2 linked regions of the Caenorhabditis elegans genome follow. The protein of the gene in region 1 interacts with the protein of each later gene in a biochemical or structural test. Each region holds a gene or a part of one and is shown in the gene's direction. Other genes may lie near its edges.

What was found.
Region 2: the proteins of fbf-2 (region 1) and gld-3 form a complex in vitro, tested with the Caenorhabditis elegans proteins (one study listed by BioGRID).

Annotation. Positions count from the first base shown.
Region 1 is NC_003280.10:6,079,182-6,094,749, reverse strand, and holds fbf-2 (Fem-3 mRNA-binding factor 2), read left to right. Parts: upstream 1-3,269; 5' UTR 3,270-3,377; coding exon 3,378-3,419; intron 3,420-3,467; coding exon 3,468-3,701; intron 3,702-3,749; coding exon 3,750-3,925; intron 3,926-3,977; coding exon 3,978-4,230; intron 4,231-4,273; coding exon 4,274-4,887; intron 4,888-4,938; coding exon 4,939-5,067; intron 5,068-5,113; coding exon 5,114-5,317; intron 5,318-5,361; coding exon 5,362-5,608; 3' UTR 5,609-5,887; downstream 5,888-15,568. Other genes in the region: tpp-2 (Tripeptidyl-peptidase 2), read left to right, coding at 1-262, 308-545, 592-935, 984-1,870; nspg-3 (DUF19 domain-containing protein), read right to left, coding at 1,995-2,205, 2,254-2,350, 2,394-2,548, 2,668-2,930; F21H12.3 (uncharacterized protein), read right to left, coding at 11,244-11,691, 11,742-11,830; fbf-1 (Fem-3 mRNA-binding factor 1), read left to right, coding at 14,030-14,071, 14,118-14,351, 14,400-14,569, 14,622-14,874, 14,918-15,531. UniProt on the Caenorhabditis elegans protein: RNA-binding protein that binds to the consensus sequence 5'-UGUGCCAUA-3' in mRNA 3'-UTRs. Involved in the control of stem cells and sex determination in the C.elegans hermaphrodite germline.
Region 2 is NC_003280.10:7,125,605-7,143,134, forward strand, and holds gld-3 (Defective in germ line development protein 3), read left to right. Parts: upstream 1-7,038; coding exon 7,039-7,163; intron 7,164-7,211; coding exon 7,212-7,293; intron 7,294-7,334; coding exon 7,335-7,445; intron 7,446-7,490; coding exon 7,491-7,561; intron 7,562-7,603; coding exon 7,604-7,769; intron 7,770-7,813; coding exon 7,814-7,942; intron 7,943-7,986; coding exon 7,987-8,106; intron 8,107-8,152; coding exon 8,153-8,230; intron 8,231-8,274; coding exon 8,275-8,412; intron 8,413-8,459; coding exon 8,460-8,702; intron 8,703-8,750; coding exon 8,751-8,849; intron 8,850-8,897; coding exon 8,898-9,066; intron 9,067-9,208; coding exon 9,209-9,331; intron 9,332-9,375; coding exon 9,376-9,444; coding exon of another isoform or gene 9,445-9,533; exon of another isoform or gene 9,534-9,723; intron 9,724-9,779; coding exon 9,780-9,857; intron 9,858-9,901; coding exon 9,902-10,141; intron 10,142-10,188; coding exon 10,189-10,615; intron 10,616-10,734; coding exon 10,735-11,107; intron 11,108-11,151; coding exon 11,152-11,200; and 4 more. Other genes in the region: F10E7.1 (ATP-dependent DNA helicase), read left to right, coding at 1,153-1,220, 1,311-1,377, 1,422-1,520, 1,590-1,789, 1,835-1,974, 2,019-2,181, 2,407-3,322; T07F8.4 (ELM2 domain-containing protein), read right to left, coding at 5,093-5,270, 5,312-5,373, 5,426-5,778, 5,826-6,021, 6,071-6,180, 6,223-6,279, 6,331-6,412. UniProt on the Caenorhabditis elegans protein: Required maternally for germline survival and embryogenesis. Forms a complex with gls-1 which promotes the oogenic cell fate by freeing the translational repressor fbf to repress sperm promoting factors.

The DNA of each region.
Region 1 (15,568 bases):
GTGGATGTTGACATGACCATCGACTTCTTTGGAGTCAAAAAGCCAACTTCTATTTCACTGATTCATGGAGCAACTAACACGCCCATTCGCTTCCAAGCTGCTCCAACGAAAAGTATCGACGTTTCTCCTTCGATTTCTCTAAAATCACTTGTTGTATCACTGAAACCACAATCTGCCAAAGTAGAACCATTGGGACCACGTGATATGTTCCTTACGTCTGGACTTCAAATCAATCGTCTTCTGTTGACTTATCAGCTTAAAGGTAACCTTTTTTAACTACATAATTATTAAAATATTATTTTTTCAGTTCAAAAACCAAGTGAAGTGCAACTTCAACTTGCTGGCCTTACTCCATATTTGTATGAATCTCCTGTGGACTGTGTACTCTTCCAAATTTTCGGAGCAAACAAGTCGTTTGTGGGTGCTTCTTCTTCGTACCCGGATCGTTGGACTCAGAAGCTTGAGAAAGGAGATTATACTATTCAGGCTCAGATTAGATATCCGGATGATCAAGTTTTGCAAGGAATGAAGGAACTTCCTCTGCTGTAAGTAATTCTTTAAATTCTAACTGAAATGATTTTTGTGTTTCAGTGTTCATGTGAAACTTGGAAACAAAATTTCTGTTGACCTCGCAGCTTCTGCCAGCGATGCAACACTTGGAAAAGAGTGCAAATTTGCTGGAAAAGCCCTTCTTCCAAATCAAGAAATGACCGTCTACGCTATGAATATCGCTGATGATAAATTGCCAAAGACTATCGTACCAACAAGTGGAAGTTTCCTTGCTGGAACATTTAGTGCTCTCAAGGATTCTGATTTGAGTGATGTAGACAAATCTGAAGTTATTTACTTTCTCAGTGAGTACTCTACTCGTCCTACGAAAGGATTGTCAATGGTTACAACAAAGAAAGATACGAATCAAAATCAGGAAATGACTGGTAGATAATAATTAAAAATTGTATCTTTTATTAAATTCATATTTACAGACGCCATTCGCGATTTGGAAGTATCATGGGTGCAAAAATTGACAGACGAAAAGGCAGCGAAAGAATTTTTCGAAGCTTGTCTGCAGAAGTATCCAGATCATCTCCCACTACTTCAGAATCGAGTAAAGCAATTGATGCAAGCAAAACTTGTGGATCAAACACCGGAAAACGTGCAGAAGATTATTGAATTATGTGGTCAAATTTTGCAAATCACAAAACCGAATGAAACTCTTCAGTTCTCATCCGTCAAGCAAGAACATGATGATGATCTCCTTACTGTTGACAAATGGCTGGCACTAACCGGAGGCAGTGAGGACCAGCGAAAGGATGTGGTGAAGTTGATTTCACAATTTGAGGAACGGAAGAAAAGTATTATTCTCGCTTTGCAAGCTCTTTCATCATTGGAGCAGGATATTGAAGTTCGTAAGAGCAAGTTCGACGTTCCAGCAAGTCTTCGTTTCGGAGGAATCACTCCTCTAATTTTCGGTGGAAAGCAAGGAGAAGTGATCAATAAGAAGTCTGAAGGTTATGAAGCACTGAAATCAAAATCTGAACAAATTGATGCAACTGTCTCTGAAGAACTGAAAAAGTTGGATAGTAATTGGACTGGAAATCAGTTTTACGTCAAGCTTCTCGTTTGGTTGTCTGCTGATGATACTAAAACTGCACTGATCTCTGCCAAACATGCAGCTGCTCTTGGACAATTTGGAAGATGTGCAAAGCTTCTCAACAAAGCTGGAGATGAACTGAAGTCGTCTGCTACTGATTCGCAAGCTGTTGATACATCATTGGCTGAAGTCTGCGAAAGTCTCGAGTGGAATCATCTTGCTACTCACTTTAAAAATTCGGCTCTGATCAAAAACAGAACCTCCTACCGTCTTTTCTAATTAGTGTATCATAAGAAATTTCGCGGGTTTCTTTTTTCTGGAAGCTTTTTTGCTTCCATTTCCGTTGTGAATCAAATGATTTTCCCATTTGAATAGATAAACTTTTATTGTTTTATAAATGAGATCAAACAAAAATTTTGCAGAGATACATTAAAATTATTAAGAAGAAGAATGTTCGAGGTTGCGACGAATTGATGCATGGCATGTACTCACAGAAGTTCCACCCAGTCATGTGGGTGAGAATCTTCTGATATTGGCAGTATGATTTGACAGCACTATTTCCACATGATTTTCTCACTACTGCTCGCTCACATTGTGTGGTTCGTGATACGGAGCTCAAAATTAAAAACTAATCTCAATAAGTCTGAAACTATTAGACTCACTCGCAACTGCCAACTTCCAAAACGGAACATTCAGTATAAATCGTGTCAGAGAGATCATTCAAACTGATTGCTTGCATACATTCATAATATGCCACAACTGAAATATTTATAAAACAATGAACGAGAATGAAAAACCTCACAATCATTTCCATAATTACAATAGAATTCAAGAAACCCCGTTTGTGAGATGTAATAAGCTGCATTGCTTTCTGAACCAAAAATTGCATTGAAAGTGTTATAGTTGAGACAATCATTGATGACGTCACTATGACAGTGACGTAGAGTTGTATATGTACTGTAATTATTCGTCTTTTTTAAAAATATTTATTCTAGCATGTAAAACCGGTTCTATTGAAATTCTTCAATAATTTTACAATTTAAAAGGTGTTGCAATGTTGTAATACCTTCACATACCTACACATTCCAGTGGCATCGTACCGAATTTTCTTAAATGGATCTTCGTCTGCTGGGGGAAGGCTAGTCACATTTGAACCATATGATTGAAACATATCTATATAACATTGTTGTAGCACTTGATCTTGATCAGAACTGCAGTTATGCAGCACTCCTTCGTTTCCCGCTACGGTTTGCTTCACTAGACCTGCTAAATCAACTTCGAGTGTCTCTAGCGATTTAGTAACGATCGTAACCACAACAACGAGAATATTCCAAATCATCAAATATAGGGAAAGAAAATTTTGTGTTTCGAGCAATTTAAAGTGTTTAGTCTGAAACAGAATAGCTCGTAAAATGTCGTCACCGTCAGTCGACCGGTTTATAGCTTTTCGGGAGGTTGAAATGTGTTTATCAATTTGATATGTTACGGTCCCGGAATTTTCCAAAAATTTTTATTGTTTCTAGTAATCATTAGTAATCAAATTGATAATTATTTTAAATACACTTTTTAATTCTTGAAACATGTGATTAGAATCTCGCATTATTTGAAAATTTCAATTTGGTTACGGTAGACAATGACAAAGTACGCAAACACCAGAGTATGTGACACACTTTCGTCATTTGCGAATTCGATTTTAAATATTATTTTCATATTCCCATTCCTATTTTCTGTGAATTGATAATTTTTCTATGAGTAATCATTCTAATAAAATTATCAACTAATCGACATGGACCAATCAAAGATGCGCAGAACGAATCAGTTCAGAAAAGTAAGTTTTCAGTAACTTCTAAAGAAACAAATGGCCTAAGTTTTACAGACTTCCCAGAAGCCTCCTTCTACAGGGATTGACAGTTATCCGACTCCCGCACAATCACCAATGGCGCAGCATGAGACACCTATGTGGGACTTCAACTCTCTCAACCCGTATTTCTCAATGCTCAATATGAACGATGGGATTAATTATGCTCGCCATCAACAGAATCACATTGTTACATCGCGGCCACCAACCCCGCTAACTGATTTGATGAGCCTTCGGAGTTTTCAGAGCTTTGTAAGTTAGAGTAGGCAATTTTTGGTTGTTTTCATTACTGATTTGCAGCCCAATGTGTTCATGCCGGTCTCGCGTAGCCGAACTTCATCATTCATTCAGTCTGATACGGATTCCTCGCGTCTCGAGTCGGATGATTTTTCACAAAATGTCCGATGTTTCTCTGCGGATATTGATCGTAGCAAGAGCTATGGTTCTTCAAAACACTACCATTTGAAATATTCGAGGTTCGAATTAATTTATCACTATCCTCTAGTATTTATTCTTTTTTATTTATAGACCCGCTCTGTCGAGGAACTCTAGATCATTCACAAGATCAAACAATGTGCTGCCAACCTGGTCCTTGGATTCCAATGGTGAAATGCGTTCAAGATTGTCGCTCTCTGAAGTTTTGGATAGTGGCGATTTAATGAAGTTTGCCGTTGACAAAACTGGGTGCCAGTTCCTAGAAAAGGCAGTGAAGGGCAGCCTGACATCTTATCAGAAGTTCCAATTGTTTGAACAAGTTATTGGGAGAAAAGATGATTTCCTTGTAAGTTTTAGTTTCTGCGAGCACACATGACTTTTCTTTTCAGAAATTGAGCACGAACATCTTTGGAAATTATTTGGTACAAAGCGTTATTGGAATTTCATTGGCAACTAATGATGACGGATACACAAAGCGACAAGAAAAGTTGAAGAACTTCATCAGTTCCCAAATGACAGATATGTGCTTGGACAAATTTGCGTGTCGTGTTATCCAATCCAGTCTCCAGAACATGGATTTATCCCTTGCGTGTAAACTTGTTCAAGCTCTACCTCGTGATGCTCGTCTTATCGCAATCTGTGTTGATCAAAATGCCAATCACGTCATTCAGAAAGTCGTAGCAGTCATCCCACTGAAGAATTGGGAGTTTATTGTGGATTTCGTTGCCACCCCAGAGCACCTCCGTCAGATTTGTTCTGATAAGTATGGGTGCCGTGTTGTGCAAACTATTATCGAAAAGCTCACTGCTGATTCAATGAACGTTGATTTAACTTCCGCTGCTCAAAATCTTCGTGAACGAGCGCTCCAACGACTCATGACTTCTGTGACTAATCGGTGCCAAGAATTAGCTACGAACGAGTATGCCAATTACATAATACAGCATATTGTATCCAATGATGATCTGGCCGTTTATCGGGAATGTATCATAGAGAAATGCCTCATGTGAGTGTTATTGTTTAATATCTACTTGATTTTTAATCATCAATATTTCAGGCGCAACCTTCTTTCGTTGTCCCAGGAAAAGTTTGCTTCTCATGTTGTTGAGAAAGCATTCCTACATGCACCATTGGAACTTCTTGCCGAAATGATGGACGAGATTTTCGACGGATACATTCCACATCCGTAAAAACATTAGTTTCAGTCACATAAAAATGAAATGTTTTTTCAGGGACACGGGAAAAGATGCCCTCGATATCATGATGTTCCATCAATTCGGAAACTACGTCGTTCAATGCATGCTGACTATTTGCTGTGATGCTGTGTCTGGAAGACGGCAAACGAAAGAAGGAGGCTATGACCATGCAATCTCATTCCAGGATTGGCTGAAAAAGTTGCACTCGAGAGTTACGAAAGAAAGGCATCGCTTGTCAAGGTTATCACTATTGTCACAATAATATTTTGAAATTCGAAATTCAGGTTCTCATCCGGCAAAAAGATGATCGAGACGCTTGCCAATCTCCGTTCAACTCATCCGATTTATGAACTCCAATCTTCGGGACACGATTCATTCAAGACGGATTACTTCAGTACTGCTTCCGAGCACGATGGTCCGGAGTTGGAGAAGAATGGGATCGAGGAAGGAAGCCTGATGCTAGAGCCACGGAGCAATAAGTCTTCAGTCTCTGTCAAATTTTCTTCTTCCGGTAGTCACGGCGATGATTAAGGTGGAACTTTCTCACCATAAATCTCATCCCACCCACTTATGTTCTGTTGTTTTGTAATATTTTAAACTGGTGCAATGATTTCGTTTCGATTTTAAGATCGATGTTGTGCCTTCCCCACTCTTATCATTGCCCAGTTTTGTTTTTTCTTTTCTTTTTTGTTATTTTATTGCTTTTTATGCAGTTGTGTTATTGTTTCTTTCTGTTTACTGTTCATTGTTTTTGTTAATTTTTTATTTTCGATTTTAATGAATCCAGATAAAATTAGACAACTTGGCAAAATATCGTTCGAGTCTTTGTCATGCTTCCACCGAGAGCTTCCTGCTTCCATACAATGCCTGCTCAGAAAACAATTTTGAAAGCGAAGAGAAAAGTTGTTCTTTGCTCGGAGAACAAAAAACTGATAACCGACAAATGTTGACTTTGTAAATTTAATCAAATTAGAAACCATGAAGAATAAATATAGTTCAATTATCATATTGAAATTTATCTTACAATTGCATCGATTTCAAAATAATGGGACTCTCAGAAAATAGAAAAACAAAAATTGGATACTGGGGATGAGGAAGAACTCCGCGAACATTGGCGGTCCTTCTCTCATGTGGTCCTCGTATAGGTGGTGGCAATCCTCTCATTGTTATCCAACATCGAGAAAATGTTCTTCGGCTAGAACTCTGAAACAAAAATACTTTCAAATTAAAATTGTCAAGATAAATTCGTACTTCCTGACACAATTTGTGTTGTTGCAGCGTTGAATTCGATTCCAAACCAAGTGGCAAGACCAAGACCCAGCAATGATGATGGAATAGTTGAATTGACAGAATTCCTCGAGCATATCAGCAATGGATGTTGATGCAAGTGGATGCAATGTTCTTCTTTTGTTTCTCATCAACGTTTGCCTTATGATTGTGAAGTGACTTGATGAACTCTCTCTGCCATGCTTAAAGAACTTGTTCAGCAGCAATTTCGTTCCATGCATCAATGTCTAATCCAGCCTTCATAGAGTTTCTTCCAGGCTTCTGCTTGAATCTCAAGAAAACATAGGCGGGGCTTGCAACGAGAAAAACTGATTGAAGAGCATCATCTCCTGATAGTTTTCCTCCCTTCTTGGCACGTCTTGGATCTCCTAGTATCATATCTTCAAGCCAATTAAGAACGTTAGATGCGAAACCAGAACATCCACTGTGTATACATATTCATCACTTCGGACCATTTGTCTTTGTTATCTTTCAACCATTCGAAAACAGACTTCCGGTATTATTTATAATCTGAAACATGACTTTATATTTTAATAGAAAAACGAATTTACTTAAATACAGTCTTTCAATTCTCTGGCTTTTTGCTTTTTCTCTTTTTCTTCTGCAGCTCTGGTTTCCTCCGGTGACAAAGTAGTCGTAGTTGGAATAGGAGCAGTTGTTACTGGAATATTTGCTGGTACTGCATCTTCAACTGCTGGAATCGCATCTACTGGTCTTTATTCTTAATCTTAAATTTTATGGCAAATACTGTTTTACTACTTGATCTTTTACTATGTATCTCTTTTACTACAAGATCTCTTTTACTACGGAATCTCTTTTACTACGAATTCCGCATTTAGATCTTTTACTACAATTGGCTCTTTTACTACGTGATCTCTTTTACTACCATTTGACCACATATATCTTTTACTACGGAAAATACTTTTTTACTACCTCATTTTTTACTACGTGGATCTTTCACTACGGTTTTTTATTCCGATGTTTTGCTACAGTTTGTATCTTTTGCTACGGTAGACATTTTTACTACAATGGCAGGGATTGTACTTTTCACTATGTTTCGTATCTTTTACTACTAATTTTTTACTACGAATTAAAAATTAATGTCTATAGTATTTTATATTCTAGATATAAACAAATGTATGAATTTTTTTTCAAAATACATAGGTCATAATTGTAGATGGAGTTAATGGAGGGAGACTGTTGAGTTACTGTAGTGGTATTGTGGAAATAACAGTTTTCAGATTATATAGTGTTTTTTTTAATTTCTGGAAATTTATTCACTATGAAATGAGCAGAACTTATTATGGCCATTTGGATCTAGAAATTAAAAAAAACACGATATGATCTCTTGCTCTCTTGTAAAACTTTTGTAAAAATTTCAGAAACATTTAAAAAGTCCTCTATAAATGTTTTAAAACTCAGAAGATTTTCTGAAAATGAAAATGTAGGTATCCTATCTCGGTCGTCAATTTATTTGTCATAGTTTTCAACTACAAAGTTGTTGAATATGGTATGATCTACGATTTGTCAGTTGAACATTTTTTTACCAAATTGTTTTTTCGCGGAGATATCGGTACTTGGAGTCAATACGTTTTATGAACTAACTTTTGACAACTTATCTCCGTTTTTTTTTCAAATCTAAAATCGTGATATAAACATTCAAATTGACCGAAAACAATAATAATTTTATACAAGATTCGATAAATTTAGAAAAAAAACATTTCTAAAGTGTTGATCAAAAGTTTCAAAATGTCAGCTGAAGTCAAAATTTTAAACACCTGACAGATAACTGACCGAACCCGCAAGTTTTTTATTACATTATAGACTTATACATATAGACATTATAGACAAAACTTATAGAGCAACGGGTATGGAACTAATTTGTTGGCTATGCGAAAAAAAAAAGAATTACTCCCACAATACCACTACAGTAACCCAACAGTCTCCCTCCATTAACTCCATCTACAATTATGACCTATGTATTTAAAAAAAACTATTCATACATTTGTTTATATCTAGAGTATAAAATATTATAGACATTAATTTTTAATTCGTAGTAAAAAATTAGTAGTAAAAGATACGAAACATAGTGAAAAGTACAATCCCTGCCATTGTAGTAAAAATGTCTACCGTAGCAAAAGATACAAACTGTAGCAAAACATCGGAATATGAAACCGTAGTGAAAGATCCACGTAGTAAAAAATGAGGTAGTAAAAAAGTATTTTCCGTAGTAAAAGATCTATGTGGTCAAATGGTAGTAAAAGAGATCACGTAGTAAAAGAGCCAATTGTAGTAAAAGATCTAAATGCGGAACTTGTAGTAAAAGAGATTCCGTAGTAACAGAGATCTTGTAGTAAAAGAGATACTTAGTAAAAGATCAAGTAGTAAAACAGTATTTGCCTTGAAGGCAGTAAGCAAATTCGTTTTTTTTTCTAGTAAAATATAAAACCACGTTTCAGATTGTAAATCATACCGGGAGTCTGCTTTCGAATGGTTAAAAGATAACAAAGACAAATGGCCAGAAGTGATGTCTGAAAACATGTACCCACAGAATGTTGATTACGCAGCAGAGATGACTGGAGGATGTTCTGGTTTCGCATCTAACGTTCTCAATTGGCCTGAAGATATGATACTTGGAAATCCAAGACGTGCCAAGAAGGGAGGAAAACTATCAGGAGCTGATGCTCTACAATTCGTTTTTCTTGTTGCAAGCCCCGCCGATGTTTTCTTGAGATTCAAGCAGAGCCTGGAAGAAACTCTGGAAACTCTCTCTCTCTATGAAGAACATTGCATCCACTTGCATCGACATCCATTGCTGATATGCTCGAGGAATTCTGTCAATTCAACTATACCATCATCCTTGCTGGATATGCTCTCATGCTGGCATATGCTATTGTTACTAATTCTCGATTTGACAACTGCCTTCCGGCTACAGAATCATCAATGGGGGTTCGCCCTTGCAGGAGTTCTTGTCGTCACATTCGCTTCAGTGGCAGGTATTGGTCTCGCCACTTGGTTTGGAATAGAATTCAACGCTGCTACAACACAAATTGTACCATTCCTCACTCTTGGAATCGGTGTTGATAATATGTTCATGTTATTGCACAACTATCGTGACGTTGTTAAACTTGCTGGCGGACACGCTGAGATGGCTATCCTGATGCGTGAAACTGGAATGTCAATTCTGTGCACTTCGATCAACAACATTCTTTCCTTCCTCACTGGAACTCTTCTACCAATTCCAGCTCTGCGATCATTCTGTGCTCAGTCCAGTATTCTTCTCACATTCAATTTCATAGCTATCCTTACAATCTATCCAGCGATCATTTCTATTGATCTTCGACGAAAGAAGGCTCAGCGTCGTGATTTCGACACTAGAGAAGAATCGTACTCGATGATTTCTAAACCAAAGATTCAAAGTAAACGAATTATTGGAGCACTTCGGAAGCTTCGATTATGCAACAGTTCGACGGAATAACTCAAGCGCAGATGGCATCGAGCGATGATCCAGCTCCATGGTCTCTTCATTCATTCATCCGTTACTACTACATTCCATTCATTTCTAAACCAGCATCTAAAGTAGCAATCATCGTTGGCTGCTGTGCTTTGCTCGGTGCATCATTTGTTGGAATGCGTCAGTCGACACTCGGTCTTGAATTGGGAGATGTTCTACCAGAACATACTGCACCTGCACAGTTCTTGAGAGCCAGAGACAAGTACTTCAGGTAAGAAGTTCGTTTTTGATTCAAAACATTTTTTTTTCTTTTTTCAGTTTCTACCCAATGTTCGCAGTCATCAAGGGACCTAACATTGATTATGCTCACCAGCAACGCCAGATTGACAATTACCGACAGTCGATTGGATCTTCAAAATATGTGATTAAAAATAAAAACGAAGAGCCATCAGAAAAGTATTGGCTGGGATTAATGCGAGACTGGCTCATTAGTATTCAACGCGGATTCGATGAAGAAGTTGCTAAAGGATCATTCAATCTTACATCTGGAACAGTTATTGGCAGCAATGTTTCCGAGGATGCTCGTCTTGCTCACGCTCTCATGTGCTCTCATGGTTCTCTATTTGAGTGTGCTGGAAGAATAGGAAAGATTCGACTAGTTGATGCAAGTGGAATTATCAACTCTGATGGATTCTACAACTTTCTTCCCAACACCACCAAAATGGGAATTGAGCAAGAATAATACCGAAAACTTCATCCCAACTGCTGAGCCACTTGCATATTCGCAGATTCCATTCTACTTAACTGGCCTCACGGATACTGCTGTGATTGTCGATGCCATAAAGGACATCCGAAGTGTTTGTGAACGATTTACCGATCAAGGACTTCCAAATTTCCCACAAGGAATCGCATTCACATTCTGGGAACAATATCTTTTCTTGACTGGAAATCTTATGCAAGCCATTTCGATCATTACCATCTCTGTCTTCTGTGTCATTTCCGTTCTTCTTTTTAATCCATGGGCTGCACTTATGGTTGTTTGTATTCTCGGAATCATGACTTGCGAACTTGCCGGATTCATGGGACTCGTTGGAATTAAGCTCAATCCGGTTTCAGCCGTAACTTTGATCACCGCAGTTGGAATTGGAGTCGAATTCACTGTTCATGTGGTTGTCTCATTCCTGACGGCGCTCGGAACAAGATCTCAACGAACGTCATCTGCAGTTGATCGAGTTTTTGTTCCAGTAATTCATGGATCATTCTCCACACTTCTCGGTATTTTGATGCTTGGATTCTCAGTTTGAGTGAGTTTTACAGAAGTATGGATGTCATCAGAATTTTATTTTTCAGATTTGTTGTCAAATATTTCTCTATTGTCATGACGGCTCTGATTTGCATTGGAACGGACTAATTCTTCTCCCAGTTTTATAATCTTGTTTTGTTCCAAGAAGAGAGATAAAATGTTTTGTTCCAAGAAGAGAGATAAAATAGAGATTCCGTAGTAAAATATCCAATTGTAGTAAAAGATCTAGATGTGGAATTCTTAGTAAAAGAGATTCCGTAGTAAAAGAGATCCTGTAGTAAAAGAGATGCGTTGTAAAAGATCAAGTAGTAAAACAGTATTTGCCCAAAGTCTGACCAGCGAATCATATCATCAACTGACAGCGCACTCAACGACGTCCCAAGTGATCGGAGTGAGGATTTTGGGAGAGATGGATGCGGCTCAAAAGCTTTCGATCCATCGCAAAAATAATCTATTGGAGTAATCCAAATGCATATCATATCGATGACGTCACCAAGCGAGGAAGCGGCAGAATCGGCTGCGACAGATGGTGGAGCTGGTTTGAAGCAGATGTCGGATAGAGACCAGTCCCTAAAATGATCAATTGTTACAAGAAAAATATATTGGTAGTCTTCACTTACACTCCATGAACTGAAACGTTGAAACTAGCGATGTGCTTCATAATCTCGGCGTGTTTTAGAAGAGCGAAGAGGTCCTGCAGCAAGTGCATCTTGTCCCACACGTTTTTTTTATTTTCCAATAATCCACATTAATTGTAATCAATGTTGCAATCTGAAAAGTGAAAATCAGCTAAATCAGAAAAAAGGAAACAACTTACGTTGAGAGTTTAAATATATAAAAACCAGCCGTTCGCACGCGCTGAAGCGCGTGCTCCGACTGGCGTACTCAAAATTAAAATCAAATTCTGAAATTTCTGAGCCTTTCTTTGCAGATGAAACGTTTTTCCCTGTTTTCCGGAAGTTCTCGAGCAACATAAATATCTACAAACTATGGAACAAACGGCCTTCATTCCGAGATGACAAACTTTTTGGTGGCAAAGGTTCTTTGGGGGCATAGTATCCAAGGAGACAAAGTATCCAGTAGACAAACTGGGGTGTATCTTGGGGGGCATATCTTTGGTGACAACCTTTTTTTCAACTAGATTTTTATATGTATTTTTCAACTAATTTTTGTTCACATTTTTCTGGAATAAGTTTTTTAATGCAATTTTCAATCGATTATCGGTTATAATTCCCTCACAATTAAATGTATGAACGATGGTCTTTTGGGAAAAGCTGTAAAAGGTCCAACTAACTTGGAATATCGTGAGGCTCTTCCTGATGGTCTGATCCTTCAGCTCCGAGGGATCACATAGGTACCTTCTGATGTTCTGATCCTTCAGAAAAGAAGGATCGTAAGGGTACCTCCTGATGGTCTGATCCTTCAGCTCCAAAGGATCACGAGGCTCTTCCTGATGTTCTGATCCTTCAGCTCCGAAGGATCACATGGGTACCTTCTGATGTTCTGATCCTTCAGATAAGAAGGATCGTAAGGGTACCTCCTGATGGTCTGATCCTTCAGCTCCAAAGGATCACGAGGCTCTTCCTGATGTTCTGATCCTTCAGCTCCGAAGGATCCGACGTCATCATCTCGAAGAATCTTACGATATTCCAAGTTAGTTGGACGTTTTACAGCATTTTCCCAAAAGATCATTGTTCATGCATTCAATTGTGAGTAGTCAAGGCCGAAAATCCATGGAAAATTGCATTTAAAAACTTATTCCAGTAAAATATGAACAAAAAATGGTCAAGAAATATATATAAAAAAACTAGTTGAAAAAGTTTGTCACCGAAGATACGCCCGGTCAGAGACAAATGGCACTTTGTCGACTGGATACCATGTCACTTTGGATACTTTGTCCCCAAAAATACCTTGCCACCCTAAAAGTTTGTCCCCTCGGAATGAGGGCCAGTTACCAGTGGCCATAATCGTGTGATTATTATTTGGGATGTTCGAAGTGTTTGCTCCGCCCTTTCTGGATCACAATAGACAATTGCTTCTTCTACTTCTTGAATGTCTCATAATTCTTCTTATTTTTATCTAATTTATTGCTTCTCCTTTCTATTTTGTATATTAACTCCCAAAAACGCCCATTCTTCCCCAAAACCATCTAAAACTTACCAATATTTCCCGATACCCCTGACAGGTTATCCTGAATAATGATTGTGATTCTCAAATTTCTTCTAATCCCGTTAATTCCCCAAATATTCGAATGTAACTTTTTTTGGAATTTTTTTGTTTTCTAGTTTATAAATAAACAATATGTTTGAAAAACAATCGTAATTTGCGTTTTAGATGGTTAAACGGTAGGAAGCTTAAGCTTCCTACAACATCCAAATACAATGCAATATTTTCTGAAATTCTAAATATCAAAACATCATCCGGAATATGGAGATTTAATGCAACTCTATAGAGGTTTATGGGGACTTAGTCTTCTGGAAATTGAATTATGTGATTATGAATTAATTTTAAAAAAACCAATCCCAATCATACGATCGTCGACGACGATCGTCCCTCGCGTCTCGCGAGAGCCAACTGGTTATAGCTTTTCGGGAGGTTTAAATGTTTTATCAATTTTATACGGTACGGTCTGGAATATTCCACAATTTTTTATCTGTTTTAACAGAGAATATCTCTCCATGGAGATGCTAAAATTTTGAGAGATAAATAAGCAAATCGCATTGTTTGAAAATTTCAATTTGGATACGGTAGACAATGACAAAGTACGCAAACACCAGAGTATGTGACACACTTTCGTCATTCTCAAATTCAATTTGAAATATTATTTTCTTATTCCTATTCTCTATTTTCTGTGAATTGATAGTTTTTCTATAAGTAACCATTCGAATAAAATTATCAACTAATCGACATGGACCAATCAAAAATGCGCTATACAAATCAGTTCAGAAAAGTTGGTTTTCAGCCATTAATATTGATAAATGGCCTAAATTTTACAGACTCCGCAAAAGCCCACATCTACAGAGGTTGGAAATCATCATACTCCCGCACATTCGCCGATGGCGCAGCATGAGACATCAATGTGGAACTTCAACTCTCTCAACCCGTATTTCTCAATGCTCAATATGAACGATGGGATGAATTATGCTCGCCATCAACAGAATCACATTGTTACATCGCGGCCACCAACCCCGCTAACTGATTTGATGAGCCTCCGGAGTTTTCAGAGCTTTGTAAGTTAGAGTAGCTAATTTTTGGTTGTTTTCATTACTGATTTGCAGCCCAATGTGTTCATGCCGGTCTCGCGTAGCCGAACTTCATCATTCATTCAGTCTGATACGGATTCCTCGCGTCTCGAGCCGGACGATTTTTCACAAAATGTCCGATATTGCTCTACCGAGATTGATCGTAACAATAGTTCTTCGAAAAATGACCATTTGAAATATTCGAGGTTCGAATTAATTTATCACTATCCTCAAGTGTTTATTCTGTTTTATTTATAGACCCGCTCTATCGAGGAACTCTAGATCATTCACAAGATCAAACAATGTGCTGCCAACCTGGTCCTTGGATTCCAATGGTGAAATGCGTTCAAGATTGTCGCTCTCTGAAGTTTTGGATAGTGGCGATTTGATGAAGTTTGCCGTTGACAAAACTGGGTGCCAGTTCCTCGAAAAGGCCGTGAAGGGCAGCCTGACATCTTATCAGAAGTTCCAATTGTTTGAACAAGTTATTGGGAGAAAAGATGATTTCCTTGTAAGTTTTAGTTTCTGCGAGCACACACGACTTTTCTTTTCAGAAATTGAGCACGAACATCTTTGGAAATTATTTCGTACAAGAAATCATTGGAATGTCATTGACAACTTATGATGACGACAACATAAAGCGACAAGAAAAGTTGAAGAACTTCATCAGTTCCCAAATGACAGATATGTGCTTGGACAAATTTGCGTGTCGTGTTATCCAATCCAGTCTCCAGAACATGGATTTATCCCTTGCGTGTAAACTTGTTCAAGCTCTACCTCGTGATGCTCGTCTTATCGCAATCTGTGTTGATCAAAATGCCAATCACGTCATTCAGAAAGTCGTAGCTGTCATCCCACTGAAGAATTGGGAGTTTATCGTGGATTTTGTTGCAACCCCAGAGCACCTCCGTCAGATTTGTTTTGATAAGTATGGGTGCCGTGTTGTGCAAACTATAATCGAAAAACTCACTGCTGATTCAATAAACGTTGATTTAACTTCCGCTGCTCAACATCTTCGTGAACGAGCACTCCAACGCCTCATGACTTCTGTGACTAATCGGTGCCAAGAATTAGCTACGAACGAGTATGCCAATTACATAATACAGCATATTGTATCCAATGATGATCTGGCCGTATATCGGGAATGTATCATAGAGAAATGCCTCATGTGAGTGTTGTTTAATATATATTTGATTTTTAATCAT
Region 2 (17,530 bases), 1.0 Mb from region 1:
TTTTTCCACTTCTACGACTTTAAAGGGGCGCATTTACGCGCTATGGTGCTTGAGATTGGTCTCGCCATGCGCCCCAAAAACCAATGGGTTTCGCGTGTCGAGACCATCGCGCGTAAATGCGCCCCCTTTAAAGTCGTAGAAGTGGAAAAAAACGCACTGTAGATATCCGACAGTAGCAGAATGTACTAATTATTCACAATGGATGTTCTTGGCTCTTGCAATTTTCCCTGCAATCTGTGCAGTTAGAGAGTCAATGTTTTTTGCATTTGATCAATATTGGAGAAGGCATATCAAAGGAAAGACTGGTCATTTGGGAGATGACTAAATTTTTAATTTCATATTTTCTTGATCTCAATATACATTTGTAGTTGCAAATAAATGATTTAAAAAAATAACAAAAATCTCTAAATGATAGGAACCTAACTGAAAAAAGTGTTTATTACGGTAGTTGGGAATAGTGAAAGTAAAATAACTATATTAATTGATTTATGAGCATAGAATTGAATAAAATCTGGCCAGTTAAAAATAAACAAAATGAATAAATTTACGATTAACGATTTATAAATTATATACTCTGAAAACTCAATTAACTGATTTTTCAGAGTAATGGTTAAAAAATGCCGAATTTTCCTGTTTGTTTCAGAAATGCATTTACAAATTGAAAAGTTGATATTTTCTTGTATTTTTAGTTCAACTTTAAAAAAGTCATCGTTCGATTTGAAGTTATGCTTTACTTTGATAGCACGGTTGTCTTTATAATAATTATCACAAATTTACTATCCGTTTTACTTTTTTTCAAAATGAATTTTAAAGTTGTGTTTTTTTGCATCTAGAATGATCGACAGTCAGTCGAACTGGGTCGGCCAGCCACATTTTACACATTTTAGGGTGGCTCTGAAAAATTCCTGAATATACATATAAAAGTGTCGATTACAGGCAAATTGCATCAAAATTCAATAAAAATTCTAATTCCCCATCTGAACATGTAGACTTGTTGTTAGTGAAAAATTTGGAAATTGGCAGTTGACACGTCATAGACCTACCAGGGAATACCATGCATAACTACTGAATCTATTTGGAGATGATTTGATGTATTTTACAAAAAAGATAATGCTCAAGTGACACACAAAATGCGACTGTTTCCTTCATGGAATGTATATTTGGTCAATTATTACTAAACAACGCTCCGATTGTGGCAATAATGATCAATTAAGTAACAGGTGGGTCAACGCCATGTATAAAGATACAATGCGCAACTGACGATGACTCTCCTTTCCTTCTAATCTTGTGCATTGTCTCCTTATTTTCAGCTGCCTGAGAGACTGTACGTACGTGACTGCTCTAACATTTTTTACAGGATTTGCAATGTATTTAAACGTGAGTTGAGTTTTCCTTCTTTCATCTTTAGTTTGGCATTTCAGAACTTTGACCCAATTAACGCTGTGTTTGATAATGAAATAATTCTGGACAAGATTTTGAACAATGTATCGAAATATGTTTTTCCCTTGATACCGTTAAGGGTAAGTTGTATCATGGTTTAAAAAAGTCACAAAATCTAAATCACCAATGACAATGGAATTTATATTTAGCTGATAAAGAAAAGTTTCAACGAAGCAGTTCTGCATAAAATCCGGAAAGATCATCGTGAAGTCGTCCTTCATACTGCATACCATTGTGATGTAGCAGATGAATACACAGAATACATGGGAACTGATTATGAGTGCCGTTACTGTTACATATATTTAAACTATCAGAAGGTAACCAGTAACAAGATGTCTTCATTTTTTAGGTAAGAAAAGCATTTTTAAATAATTTTTGCGTATGTTAATTACAGATTTCTAAAAGATACTGTAGCAGTTAAAATTGTGAAGCTAATTCTTGAACCAGCTCGTGGGTTTCCATTTAGCCATTTCTGTTTAAATAACGATCTGCTGTTTCACAATATTATTATGAACGATTTAATAGGGAATAACTGTGAGTTGATTAATCGAAGTTTGAAACAAACCATATTTTCACAGATAAATCGATATTACATTTCGAAGGAATGATTGATATATGTTTACACGGATGCTTTGATTGCATGAGAATAATGTTAAACTGTGAAGTATACGGCCCAGCACAAATTAATGTTATTCGTAGAAAAGAACCAAAACACTTTAAAGAACTGGAGTTACCGGAAGTGTAAGTTTTGAGTGATTTGATTTTTTTCTGGCTGAACGATTTTTTGAATCATCAACAATATTTCAATGATATGTCAATACTAAGTCATTCAATTCATTCGTTAGAATTTTCGCTAAATTGAGAACAATCAAATAAATAATCATTCAAGATTTCCCGACTTTGAATGTTTGATTGCGAGAAAGTTAGAAGGAATTGGAATTACTACTTATAATCAATTTCATTCAGGATGGCTGACTTGCCGGATGATCCTCCAAATATGGAATTCAAAGTAGGAATAGAGAATTGGGAAATGGAAAGCATCAAGAAAACAAAAATTTCATGCGACAAACTTATTTTAAGGTTGTCACACAGTGCTGTTCCAAATCCAAGAATTTGGTACTATAAATATATAACAAGAGAAGTTATTGATATCATTATTTCAAACTGGAAAGTGAAGACTGTAAAATTAATAATCACAATTAATAATATGGAAGAGTTTATTACAATTCCTGAACAATTTCATTTATTCACTAAAGAACGACTTGGTGATCCAATCTCAACTCATCCAATTTCTAAAAATTCATTGGAGAAAGTGGAACTAGATCTACGCTTTGGTGTTAATACTTTGGTTAAAATGTTTCATAGAAGTGCTGAAATATTACCAACGGATAATATCATTGAAAATGTCCGAAGAATTTTTCCAACCAAGAACATGATTATAACTCTTCCAAATAGTTTCTCACCACTTCCAGTCGAGCATCATTGCCGTTTTGTTATGATGTTTTTGAGAATGGGATTTCCGAAGGGACAAAGAAATTTCAATGTCACATGGAGATTGTTTATTCACGAACCGATTTATGGAACATCACCAGGATTTAAATATAGAAATATGGTGATTCCAGCATTCAACTACAAGCCAAAGCCGTGGGAATACGAGTCATCACTTCAGAATAATCATTTATATTTTGAGAAAACTGTCAAGTTGCAAGATGAACAGGAATTTTCTTTTTTCAAAGAGGTCAAAATCTGGAAAGGAAACAAATTCTGTGTCAGAAATGCATATACAAATTGTAATGTAGATATAGATTTGTATTTCGAGTCCAACTTGTTGAAGAAAGTACTAAATACACTCAATAAAATTGAAAGCCAATCAATTAATTAAATGCTTCCGTTGTTAACCTTTTTAATTGCTGCATGTTTTTAAATATTTTATTGCTTTCAATTTTTTTTCATAAATTCAAACTTATTTTCTCGTTTTTTGATTTTTCATGAAACTTATCGATGAAAAGTGCCTCAGTCTTTCCCATAGATAATTTGTTATTAATCAAACCTCGGTGCTGCTCAAACAATTTTCAGCCAATTTATCACTTGCCCAAATCAGTATAGTTTTGGGGAAATACTTTTTGACTACTGGATTTTTGACTACATGGCTTTTTGACTACGGGCGTCTTTTTCGCTACTGACTAAAAATACTAAAAATTATAGCAACATTCGCACTTTTGTCTTACCGCATAAAATCCAATGCGCGTGCTCCAACCAACCGCAGTTGGCCCATGATCCAAGGGTACACCGAATTGGGGGTACATTTGTTCTTAGGGTACATTCGACATCATCACAATCATTATTAGGGTACATCCACCGGTTTGTTCAGAGGGTACATCCATAAGATTTTTATAGGGTACATCGGCACTATGTTCCAAGGGTACATCCAATTTTCAAGGGGTACAACGGATTTTTATAACTGAAATTTCTTAGAGTTGTGATTTCTCATTTTTTTCACATAGGATCATAATTTTTTGTTTTTTAACTGCCGTATTGAACCATAGTTTTGTTTCTTGATTTCAATTTCATTTCGCATTAGTATTTTTGATAAATAATTCACAAAATCGAAATCTAGAAACAAAACTATGAATTTATTCGAATTTTTCAATACAGCAGTTAAAAAACGAAAAAATTGTGATCATATGCAAAAAAGATGATGAGTGTTATGTATTCGATGTTATGTATTCGATGTTATGTATTCGACAATGTTATGTATTCGAGGCTGAACCAGGAGGCTAAGACGAGTAGTTTATTATTACATAAATAACAAAGGAATAAATAGAAAGTTAGTATACATAGATCATGAGTTCACGTTGCACGATCTTCATATCCACGTTGAGGGCTAGGTACACGTAGATACCCAACACCTTTGAAAATTGGATGTACCCTTGGAACATAGTGCCGATGTACCCTATGAACAAACCGGTGGATGTAGCCTAAGAATGATTGTGATGATGTCGAATGTACCCTAAGAACAAATGTACCCCCAATTCGGTGTACCCTTGGATCATGGGCCAACTGCGGTTGGTTGGAGCACGCGCATTGGATTTTATGCGGTAAGACAAAAGTGCGAACGTAGCTATAATTTACTCTCTCTCTCTCTCTCTGAAAACGGGGTCGATAAGTGCAAAATCTACGGGATTTAACACCAAAATTTCAGATGCAAATTTTCAGATACTGAGACCGAGATGGCAGAATTAAATGTTGGTTTTCAGTAGACAGTAACATTATCTTCCGATTGGTATGCTTTTTGCTCCATATTTCCACCATATTTTTACGGGGCTCCCAGTTTTTCACTTACATGTGGTGAAGGATCACAGACCAGAAGAAGACGTGTTGTACGTGCTAGAAATGATGACTGGGAGGAAATCGAGTGTGATGATACGGAGACCGAAGTCCGACAGTGTACGGGTCGTCATCAATGTTGATAAACTCTAATTTTAACAATGAAATTTTATGAAAGTGAATATTTGATTCAGATTAATTTGACAACGAAGGAATTTGATTGTTGTGATTACGTAAATGGGTATCAGGGGCGAGATTATTTGTTAAACAGAGATCGAAAATAATAAATGCTTAGGTGAAAAAGTAAAAAAATAGTTCCCTAGTTTTAGTTCGTAAGAGTTGATGGCTCCTCTGAAGTAGATGGCTCGGAGAAGGAGGCTTCAACAAATCCAGTTTGACCATTTTGATCTTCCAGTTGAGCTACTTGCTGATGCCATGCAGCAGATAAATGAGGCTGAACTACTGGCGCATGCTGTGGATGAGCGTCCCGCCAAACTCGATAGCTGAAATAAATTATTAAAATTTGAAATCGTCGTTCTCTCACCCAGGGGTTAATTTCCATTGATAGTAGTATTCGATAAGTTCTCCAACTTTCCGGTAGGGTAGCTAAAATAAAACATTATGAAAACTTTTTGAATTTGCAAAATATACAACTAACCCGTAGTCTCCTTATCAGCGAAAAATCTTTTCCATACAGCTCGAGTGACTCTTCAAATGCCTTTGCTTCACTCTCATCGAATCCCAATGCATCTGAGCGAACAGTGCGGAATGGGGCATTTATATGAGGAAAAGGGAATGATTCTTTCGCCTTTTCTGTGTCAAAGTTGCTTCTATACAAAGCACATAGAGCGTCCTCGTCGTCTCGTGATTCGGTGCCAGCTGGTGGACATGGTTGGTCGTGGGCTTTTCGTAAGCCTACTACATCTTTGAGATAGTTGTCAATAACTTCATCACTTGGCTGATTCGTCTGATCAATTGTCCATAAAATAGTGTCATCTTCTCGAGCAGATTCTGAAGAAATAAATCGATATAGAATCAAAAATCAGATCATTGCTTACCTTCAACCGTTGCTTCATTAAAAAGCGGGACGTCGGCTTGGAAAAGTACTGGATCCACACGAATACTTCTTTTCCATGGGTCTGGCGGTGGTGCATAGTCGTCATCATCGTCGTCGAAGCCACTCATTGAATTACCCATATCGAAAATTGTTGAGTCGTGCGGTTCTGCAGCAGCCGAACTTGATTCCCCTACATTCTGAAAAATATAAACATTTTATAATTTCACTTTATCATTTGTAAATTACTTCTTCGGCGATTTCCGTATCTTCATTGTTTGCAGATGAATTTTCCGCTGGACGATAGCCATACTTACGTTGAAGTTCTTCAATTGACATTTCTCCCTCATCTTCCAAGTCTGAAAAGAAAAATGAGTCAGAAGCAAATTAAAGAAATTCACCTTTCAATTCATCTTCGTAGTCCCCTTCATCTAGAAGCTCCTCCTCTTCAATTGTCGCTGGAAAACCATACGTTGAAGAAATTTGAAAAAATATATATATAAGCATACCTTCATAGTCTTCGCCATTATCATTATCGTCTACATAATCTTCTTCATCAGTGATAGACGAACGAGAACCCTCTTCATCCATATTCAAAGCCTGGAAACTAACAAAAGTTGTATTAAAAACGGAAAAAGCGAAAATAAGTTAAAGCGGTTTGCGCGTCGACTAAGACGTAATTCTCTGTGTGCGGTGTTTGCGGACTTGTTTACAGTAGCTCGCAAAATAAAAAATGATGCAAAGCCAATGGGTGTTTCTAAAAAAGGGGAAGTTAATTTTGAAAAAGTAGAAAGCAACACAGATATAACAAAATAGTATAACAATTTATTAAAATGTAATTCAAATGTTCAGTCTGTTAAATGAAGCCGCCCCTAATATTAGGCAGCTAATCAAATTTAAAAAGTACAGTAACCAAGAAAGTTTTCAGAAAGGCGCATTACCGAAATCGAGCAGGTCTTACAACGTTCTTCAAGGAGATTGTTTGGCGCCCAATTCCTCGAACACACGTTCAGCGTGATTTTCAGTGTGTTTTCTCATTTGTTTTCGTGCAATTTCATCCTTATAATGCTAATATTATCTGTAATTAATCGTTCCACGATGATACTAATACCAGTAACATCGACGGAGGCACTGACGATCATTTATAAAATATTTGAAACTCAAAAAATTTACTGAGCAAACGCTTTAGTGTTAGAAACAAGATTTCAATTTTGCAGATGGGGGAGCAAAGCCATGAAAAAGATCATGATGAAGCGCACTCCTACAATCCATTCGTTCGCTCTGCCGTTGAATACGATGCTGACACACGCCTCCAAATGGCAGAAAATGCGGCATCTGCAAGGTATTAAATATGGTTTACGCTTACAACATTCTAATACTCCGATTTTAGAAAACTATTTGTATCGTCTGCCCTCAAAGATATTATCGTGAATCCTGAAAACTTCTATCATGATTTCCAGCAATCTGCACAGGTAAAGGCAACAACTTGTTATGTTACAGTCAAACAATTCAGATGGCGGAGGATGCTAATCAGAGACGACAGGTGTCATACAACACGAAACGAGAGGCTCATATTCATCAGCTAAAAGCGCAAGGATTGCCTCTGCCGTCAAATATACCAATGGTTTGACTGCTTCACATTCCACTGATTAACTGATTCAACATTTAGATCGAGATTAACCCAACTAGAGTAACCCTCAATATGGAGTTTGAATCCCAATACTATTCACTAATGACCAGGTTAGTTCACCAGTTAAGCGAAAGAAATTGTATTCATTTCAGTGACAACGGGGATCACGAGAATGTCGCGTCAATCATGGCAGAAACTAACACCCTCATTCAACTTCCCGATCGTTCTGTCGGAGGAACTACACCTGATCCATTTGCACAGCAAGTAACCATCACTGGATACTTTGGTGACGTGGATAGAGCACGAATGTTGATGAGAGTACGTTCAACTCTGATTATATGAATAATGTTCGTATTTTACAGAGAAACTGTCATTTTACAGTTTTTATGGCACTGTCAAAAATGAAGATGCCACTTCACGAACTTCAGGCACATGTCAGACAGAACCCCATTCAAAATGTGGAAATGTCTTTCGTCGATGCTCCAGAAAAGGCAAGCCGATTTAGCTAGTAACCAACAGTATTAATTTTCTTCAGAATGGAATCGTCACAACCTATCTTCGTATCACCGCCCGCGAAAAGAATCAGCATGAACTGATCGAAGCTGCAAAACGACTGAATGAAATACTTTTCCGCGAGTCTCCGGCACCGGAGAATGTTAGCAGATAAACTGAATATATATCCTGAACATTTTGTTTTTCAGAATTTCACTCTCCATTTCACATTGTCAACATACTACGTGGATCAAGTTCTTGGAAGTTCATCGACGGCGCAACTCATGGTTTGGCTAAAGGATATTTCTATTACATCAGCATTAAATTTCAGCCTGTAATCGAGAGGGAGACAACGACAATAATTAGTTATCCATGTTACAATAATCGAAACGAAACTCGTGGAAATATTTATGAAATTAAAGTTGTTGGGAACATTGACAATGTTCTTAAAGCCAGGAGATACATAATGGTGAGGAGTATGAATACATAGAAAGATATACACTCGAGAATTTACAGGACCTCCTTCCTATTTCGATGTGTTTCAACATTAAAAATACTGATATGGCAGAACCGAGCAGAGTTTCTGATCGGAACATACACATGATTATTGATGAGAGTGGGATTATTCTTAAAATGACTCCTTCCGTGTATGAGCCCGCGGATCTACTGTCAGGAGAGGTTCCGTTGAACTGTGCCAGTCTTCGTTCGAAGGAGTTTAACATAAAGAAGCTGTACACCGCTTATCAAAAAGTTCTCTCGGTAAGCGCACGTCTCTCTGAAATGAGATTAAGAACAAGTAATTTTCAGAAAAAATTTGATTTCATTGCTCCACAACCAAATGATTATGACAACTCCATCTGGCATCATTCTCTTCCGGCAAACTTTTTGAAAAATTTCAATATGCCGGTTAGTCATGTTTATTTTACATTTTAGTTCAAAACGAGATTTTTTCAGTGTCGGGGTGAACTTTCTGATGGTTCAAACGGTCGTCGTCATAGAAGCTCATCAATAGCTTCTTCTCGTTCCAAACACAGTTACATGAGCAAAGGAAAACAATTTTCTGAGTCGTCTGGGGGTCCATCAAGGTCTCACACAAGAGTATCTTCGTTTTCCGAAAATTCATGTGAGCAATTTGCCTTTTATGATTGTAAATAGTACACACAAATTATACTATAAAATTATTTAAGAAAAGCATATCAAATTTATTTAAATAACAATGATAATAATATTACTACAGAGTGCTTTAAAATCAGGAAATTTTGCAGCAACCGTCCCTATTATGCAATTTCCAACGCCACATTTTGCACCACCAATGTTAACTCCTCATCATCACATGCTGAAATACGTCTATTTGCAGCAACATCAGCAAGCTCAGACATTTTTGAAAGGTTGCTATTATATATTTTGTTTCGACAATCATACAAGCTTTCAGGTGCAGCTGGATTACATCCTGGCACACATATCATGTTCCCTCCACCGATCATCGTCGATGGATCCTTTGGTGCGCGTTATTCTTCAAATATTTATCCATTTTCTTACATAGTTCCACAGAACTTTAACTTTTTGAACGGAAATTTCGGTCACCTTTAGAAGATCTCTCGTCATGTTATATATTCATCGTGTAAAATGAGCTCTTCATGAAAAATTTGCCAAATTCTGGATAGTTTTAAGCCACAAAATTTTCTCTTGTTCCTCCTACCGCCACTATGTAATATTTGTCTTTTCACCCGGTTGTGATGATCTTATTACGTAAATTCAACCACAATAAAGCGTTTAGCTTCCATCAATATTCTATGTCTTCGTAAAAATTATCATTATTGAAATTTTGTGTTTCAGTGTCTGCTCTGCCATTTGCGGATCCTGTAGTATTTGATGGTTTTCCTTATGTCCACGGATTGTTTCCGGTAAATGAAGGTTGGTTTATTCGTTCAAAGCATCATTGCAACAATCACTTTCAGCCGAACAACACAGAAATCACCGTGAATCATCACCATCTCTACGATCAACACAAGAAATCAGAAAACCGTCTAGAAACATGGGAAATCGACCATCATCGAGCACAGGTTCTTATTATCCATCGACAACACCTCGTCAACGTGTTTACGAACAAGTTCGAGAAGATGATCTTCGTTCACATATTGGTTCAAGAAGAACATCAGTGAATGGAGACGATCAGAATGTTGAAAGCATGCACGACCGTAAGACTATGACAATAATAAAATTGATAAAATCATAATTATTACAGAAGGATATGAAAGACAGTACCCACGACAGCATCAAAGACTTCAGAAGGATGATCAACAACGCTGGAAGACAGGAAGTCGTGGAGATATTCACTCAAGTAGAACAATTAATGTGCACAGAGACGTTCGCAATTCCAATGAATACGACTTTCATGTGGGAAATTCTGGGCCAGCTAAGAGGTCCCCGTCTTTGGAACAAGTACAATTGCAAATGACACACCACTTGAAGTTGAAATCGAATGATGTTGATTTGGATCATGAAAAGCTTTATATGCATGAGTCACCGCACAATGATTCTGATACTACAGTTTCTGCAAGTGGCTTCGGAAATGATTTAATGGATGGAGACTTTGTTCAGAGATTCCTATCCAATGCAAATATCAATGAATCGGGAAGAAGACCAAGAACAGTTAGCTGTTTTACCGAGAAGTACGTTTTTAAAGTTGAAATTAAAAGAGTTTATAGCTTTTCGTTTACATCATAAATGAGCATTTTTAATTTGCAAAAAATACATATTTAAGCATTCATATAATCAAAACATTTTACAGAGATGGTCAATCCGCCCGATACATCGATTCTGATGGTGCATACAGCGTTGTTGATCATGCATCCACACATCAATCTCGTTCATATGATAGCTTCAGAAAAGTTGGCGACAACGGAGTCACAAAAACCATATTGGAACCACGTGCTCGAGTAGAGAAAGATTATGGCAAAATAAGCCTAGAACACAAGACGAAATACTCAAATGAGTACGGTGATGAAGAGAAGTCAGCAGAAAATGATACGTCTTCGTTGGGATCTAGACAATACAGAATTGATCCAATGAAGTTAATAGCTAGTGTTCGTGAATCGAGTGAGCAACTACCACGTATTCATGAAAGGCAGTTTAGCGATGTTCTGAATGAAAAAGAAAAAGAGGCAAGTAGTCTATTGGCTTGCCATAATTATCTGTAAAGCTTCAGATCGCCGACAAAAGTATTGAATCTACAGTAACCCAAGATCTTTCGTTAGGTTTGTAAATCCACAATTGGCTAATTAACATACATATATTTCAGACGAAACATCTACATATTGAGAAATCGGGATTTTTCCAATAGCTTCTTCTACTTCTTACATCAATTTTCGCTATATATGAACCCTATTTGTGCATATCGTATACGGCTCCATCAATTTTTATCTTACAAACCATCCATTTGCCTGTCGAGAATATCTTTGTATCCACGGGACTTATACGACTAGGCCGATGGTTGGTGCTTAGCCTTCACAGTTCTACACTTATTTTAACCGAAATTATTTTCCAATTCTTCCCGTATTATTTCATTGTTGTCACCTCTTCGTTCGTCATTTTTCTATCTTTTCATTCCTTTTGCAGACGTTGGAAGCATAGGTAACATGAAAAATTAAATGAATTCACAATGAAATTCAGAATTTTCGTGCATCTATACTTCCAATTGCAATTTATGGCACTGTCGATGTTCCCTTCCCTATATTTAATGTTCTTCCTTTTTTCTCCCATAATTCCCAGTTGTTTTTGATCGCAATATTGTCCCGGGTCCCATCATATCTAGGTTTGTTTCAATGTATTCCATCTTTCCTTTCTTTTTTCATCACTTCATATACACTACCACTTTTATTGTCTTTTCTTTTTTTTTCGTCATTCAACTAGGATTTCATTAGCAGTTTATCCCAATTTCCTCTACAGTTCTGTTTATAAATGAAAGAATTGCGGAAATATTGTTGTTAATCACATCTTATCGTCCGACAACTTTCGATTCAGCAAGGACATGTTCATTGATAATGTTCTAAATTTCTAATATGGAAAGTCTCTTGGTCGTTCAAATCCTCGCCATAGTCTTCATACAAGTGGAAGATTTTGATTTTAGAAAGACTAAAATTAATTCGTCTCACTTGAATGTAGCGATAAAAGGATAGAAGAAACAAAAAAATTTTTCCTGAATTTCCCTGAATCGATACACTTTCTCCATATAATCGTAAAGCGAGGTCTCTCTTTTTTCTTGAAACGGACTGTCCATTGGAGGCACTTATTTCTTGAAATGAGCCAATCTTCGACCGCCTGACTCTACTCACTCCATAATTTCATCTGCATCATCTTCTTTTCCCAAACCAAAAAATGTGTATTCTTATTCAAAACGACGCTTGTTTTTTTTAATACGGAAAGAAGATTTGATGACAGACTTCCTTGGATTTTTCGTTAATATGTATATGTGTAAATTTTTTTCAAATTAAAGATAGTAGTGCATTGGGAATATTGTTAAAAAATCACTCATATAGTACTAAAATGACGATGACTCGGTTTTCCACACTCATCATAATTTTGGAAGTCGACAATTTTTTTTCATTATTAAAATGTTTCTAATAATAATTATTTTATTATTGTAGGAGCTGAAACATGTGATTTTTTAACCGAATTTTTCCTGAATTTTTCGCGAAATTTGGCAATTGACCAAAACATTGACTGAAAATTTCAAAAATTGTGCTTTTTTGAAATTCTTTTTTGAATTGTGCAAAAAGTGCTTTTTTGAGTGAATTTAGATTATTATGAGTTAATTCAAAATAAATCCACGTTAAAGCTACTCCATCTGGAAAGCTTAAAAAATCGTTCTTTTTTGAATAAAGATAAAGAAATAGAAGAATCGATTATCTGATTACCTCTCTTCAAAAGATTTTGAGAAGACACTCAAAGTAAACCTGTCTGCCTTATTCAATTGCATTCACTTAATGTTCATGAACATATTCTCGTATTGAACATTCTTTTTTTGGCTTATTCATATAAGTTATTTCATTTGCACTTTTCAATTTTTATATATTTTTGAATCTACGCGAAACATTCTATGATTCAAAAGTTTGATCTCTCTTAAAATCTGAATCATATTAGCGTCGTTGACCAACTAAATATCGCTCATTTACGTACGCTCTGTGAACTTTTTTGGGAAGCACCAATGATATTTTAAGAAGCTTTTTGATGAAATTATTGATCTCTTATAACTGAATTTAATTTTCTTTTGTTGAAAATGAATAAGATTTGAAAAAATTGGCAGCATGTTTTATTACGTTCTATTTTAAACAAACTTGTCAGATCAAGTATAAACATCAAATTAGGCAGAAAAAACATGAAAAACTTTAATCTAGGCAGCAAAATGATTACCTTCTTTCAAACAAACCTAATGCTCCAAAACAGGGTTTATTTAAAAAAACAGGCTGTGTAGGCAGTAGGTAGGTGTTTAGGCAGACAATCTGTGTTAAACAATTTTTTAGTAACTCTATGTTTTCTTATAAACTATCTTTTTGGTTTCGTTGTTGCAAAACCGCGTTCAGTGCTATCCATTTCTTTGCATAAAAATAATAATTAACGATAAGAATTAATAAATCATAAAACATAAAAATGTTTGACAAACAATAAACAATAACCTTTGACAGAAGAAACTACGCCATATTTCGCTTTTTGATGCCCCTTTTGTCTCGTTTCTTATCAACAATAGTTGTGTAAACGGAGACTGATAGTAAGGACGTTTACATTAAATTGTAGATCCTTTTTCTTTCTGCGTCTTCTTTTTCATTTTTCTTCAATTTTTAAAAATACATTTATTCATTGTACATTTCAATAATATCCATCACTTCTCTCACTTTATCGCTTCTTTCTAATCCCAAATGGCTGACATTTAGATCGGATTTTTATTCTGATAAGAGAGTACTAAAATGTGTAGATTCGCAGATATAACAGGAGATGCACGGGGAATTGAATGATATCCTTGGAGGGAGCTGATAATCTCGTGTGTTTTGAAGGAAGCAAGATTCTTTCCCCAGTTTTGCTTATAAGTTTCCATAATTTTTGCACTGAATAATTCCACGTCAACAAACGGAAATTTGGGTTTAGCAGACAATTTGTAGTTCTTTATGTTGTTTACGTGGCATTTTAATAATGAGGTCATCATATGTTGACTTTCTTTCAAAATGTGATGTTCACGCGTAATAACTTTTTGGTGGCGTAGTTCTACCACATTGTGGTTCCTATTTCTCAAATCAGAATGGTACAATAATACTAAATTTTCAGTTGAAACCATTCAAATGTAGTATATATACTATGATCCGGACTCAACATTTCTATTTCAAATCTTTTTCCTCTCTTCTCTGGCTTGGCTTGAAACTATTTCAAAGATTATAGAAATCGAGGTTAAGCTTTAATTTTTATTAGAATCGATAATTCCCACTCAAACTGGTTTTTGAAACGAGACACCATAAAATAAATGTCTTTTTAGAACCAGAATGACACCACGTACCAATTTATTTTCAGGATCAGAAACCTTTCAAAATGCCAAATATATGAAAGATGAGATCCAATATCTGTGTCGGATCTTTGTGAAAGTTATTTGTATGTTATACAGAGATAATATCAGAGCTCCTGGAAATGAAATTTCCTAGAATAATGGAATTCATTTGTCTTCCAGAGTATTCAATAAGAGATTGTCTGATTTTTCCCTAAAAGTATTTTATTTAAAATTTTAACTAGGTTAGTTCTATTTCCTACTACTCTTAAAATTCTTAACATTTAAAATCAAAAATTATAAAATACCAGAGTATTTTGACAAAATTTCTAATTTTTGACTTTTCCTTTGTTCAATAACTGAATAAACTGCATAAAAATTTTAAAAATACATTTTCAAGAAGTCTCATGAAGTCTCATCATTATGCAATTTGTAAGTTAGTATCTTTTTATCTTTTGAAATAATTACAAAATCGTAACACTCAAAATGTTCAATACTTTCTCTTTTTAACAATTTTCATAAACCGCAAAATACTGGAGCAAGCGCTTGAAGTCTCTGTACAATTAGAAAAAAAAGAAACTAAAATTTTGAATTTCAGAATTAAACTGAAAAATTGTCGAACGTAGTGAAAGTTCAGTTTCTTAATATATTTTCTTGTTTATATAGAAAGAAAATTGCAAAACAGGAAATTTGATGACAAGTCATGTGCCACAATTTCATTTTTACGCAGTGTTACAAAGGAAAATAGTTTAAATGTATTTTATCAAAAGTTTTTACGTACATTTGAGAATTATGTTTGATATATACAATATGGCCTGTTTCAGATCACCTGCTTCTTGCTCCATTCATAATAATTATCACAACTAAAAATTCCCTTTCTGGGAACTTTTATTTTGTTGGATAGCTCTTGCGGAACATGTAATATTAAAAATTGGAAAAAAATACATTTTACTTTTTTCATGCTTTAAATTCCCAAAAAGTTAATTTTGGCATTTTTCCCAATTTTGTATTTATTCCAACATTGACTACTTGGATTTTGGTAATTTTTGAATTGATCAAGAACTTTCCTATGTTGTCCTAAGTAGTTCTTTACTTTAAATGATAAAATATGAGACAATCAAGAAATTAACAGCTGAGCTGTATAAATTATTGTAAATCTGCATCATCATCTTTAAAAAGTTGAACTGACAATTTTGAAGATTTATCTTAAAACTTCTATTTGTAGTTTCAAAACTTCTATTTGTAGTTTTTTTGTAACAAAGAAACAGCTATTAATTGCGAGAAAATAAATATTTCAGTATTGGTTAGTGGTGTGCTATAATAGAATACAAACTTGCAGTTTGTGTTTTTTTTTTCAAAAAAAAAAAAACGTTCAGAGAATCAATAAGTAGACCTTTGCTACAGGTGATAAAAATTTACAACAAATAAAAAATTCGCAGTCTGTTTTCTTATCAAACGAATTTTAAAGATTATTTTTGCCAATGATGATTTCTGGACTTCATATGAAACTTTTTTTGCTCCAAAAATTATTTGCATTCATAAGTATCCACCCACCTATCACTTCTAAATCTATTCGTGTGTTTCTAAACTTGTCCTTCCTGTCACTATAAATATCAGAATGGACTCCTCCGCTTCCGGTCTCTAATTTCCTGTCGACTTTCCCTACATTCATTCATCTGCTAAATCTCTCCGCCTTTGCATCCGGAAGAACTCTTCCTTATCATATCTTTTCGCTTTTTTTCAGATCAATTTCAGATCATCTCATTTTTTTCCCATAAAAAGTGTGATTCATTAGTATTTATTTCCTTTAGTGTATTATCTTTAACTGCGTATATCTTTCCCCCCGAAAAACCCCCTTCTTCACTAAAAATCCTTCGCATACTAATCTGATAGTGAGCAAACCGAGTGTCTCATCGTCACTCACACGTGCCTCAATAATAATGCTTCTCTCACTTTTTTGCTTCTGCTGCAATATTTATGAACATTTTTCATTTTTATTTTTCTTTAATTTTCATAGCTCGATGTTCACTTTTTTACATATCTTGCTGCAGGCTTAGAAATTTATCTGATCTAATTTTTTTGTTTATTTGGAGAAGTACTACTCTCAGTTTGGTGTCTCAAAACTTTTAATCATTTCAATGTTATCTCGTGAACAGTAACACATGAAAAAACAAACAAACGCATATTGTCTACACTTGTTTCTTGAAGAAATTCTGCAGAAAACTATAGCAGCCGACACCTACCTGTTCTCAATTTTTCCAATAAAATTAAGCCTTCGACGTAGGCATAAAACTCACTGCCTGCCTGCCTTCGATGCGACTTACGACTGTCTCGAATAAAGGTTATTTGCATTGAAAAAAATTATCAAAAAAAAAGTAACTAATCCTCACATCATTCATTGACCACCAAGTGAACACAAAGAATTTTGAAAATCTTTTTCTGTTTGACTCAAAGATGCCTTACTATGAGACAATATTATTTTTCTAGACACAAGAAAAGTTCGAGGCATGAAGTGGTTGTCTTCTAACGCGGAACAAATCTAATTTGTGATCTCGAACACGTTTGAGGTTTCGATCAAAGAACATAAATATCTACATTCAAAACACATCTCTCGGTTTTTTTTTTAGTTTTGGGTAAAACGACATTCAATATTTGTTGATAAATGAGAACTATTATAAAGGTATTACTTTGAGTATTAATTTATTAGAAACCATCCAGGTTCTATCAATGACTCCGTATTCTAATGTTATTCTAACTGCTCTGGTTTATCCTTCTAATACCCTTCTAAAATCCATATCTGTTTAAGATTTTTGTATCTTGCTCTTTTGGATATTTTTCTACACTTTCTCTGTCAGTCAGACATGAACAATTTGATTATTTCTTTCAACGCTTTCTTATGTTTCTTCTATTTTTCCATCTTTTCTCATTACTTCCTTTATCAATCCTGAATATTGCCGTTCATAAGAATCAGTAAGATTGGTTCTAAAATTGATAAATGTATGTTTTCACTATCATTATTTCTACGTAGCTTTTCCTTTTTCAATCCTTGTCAATTGAT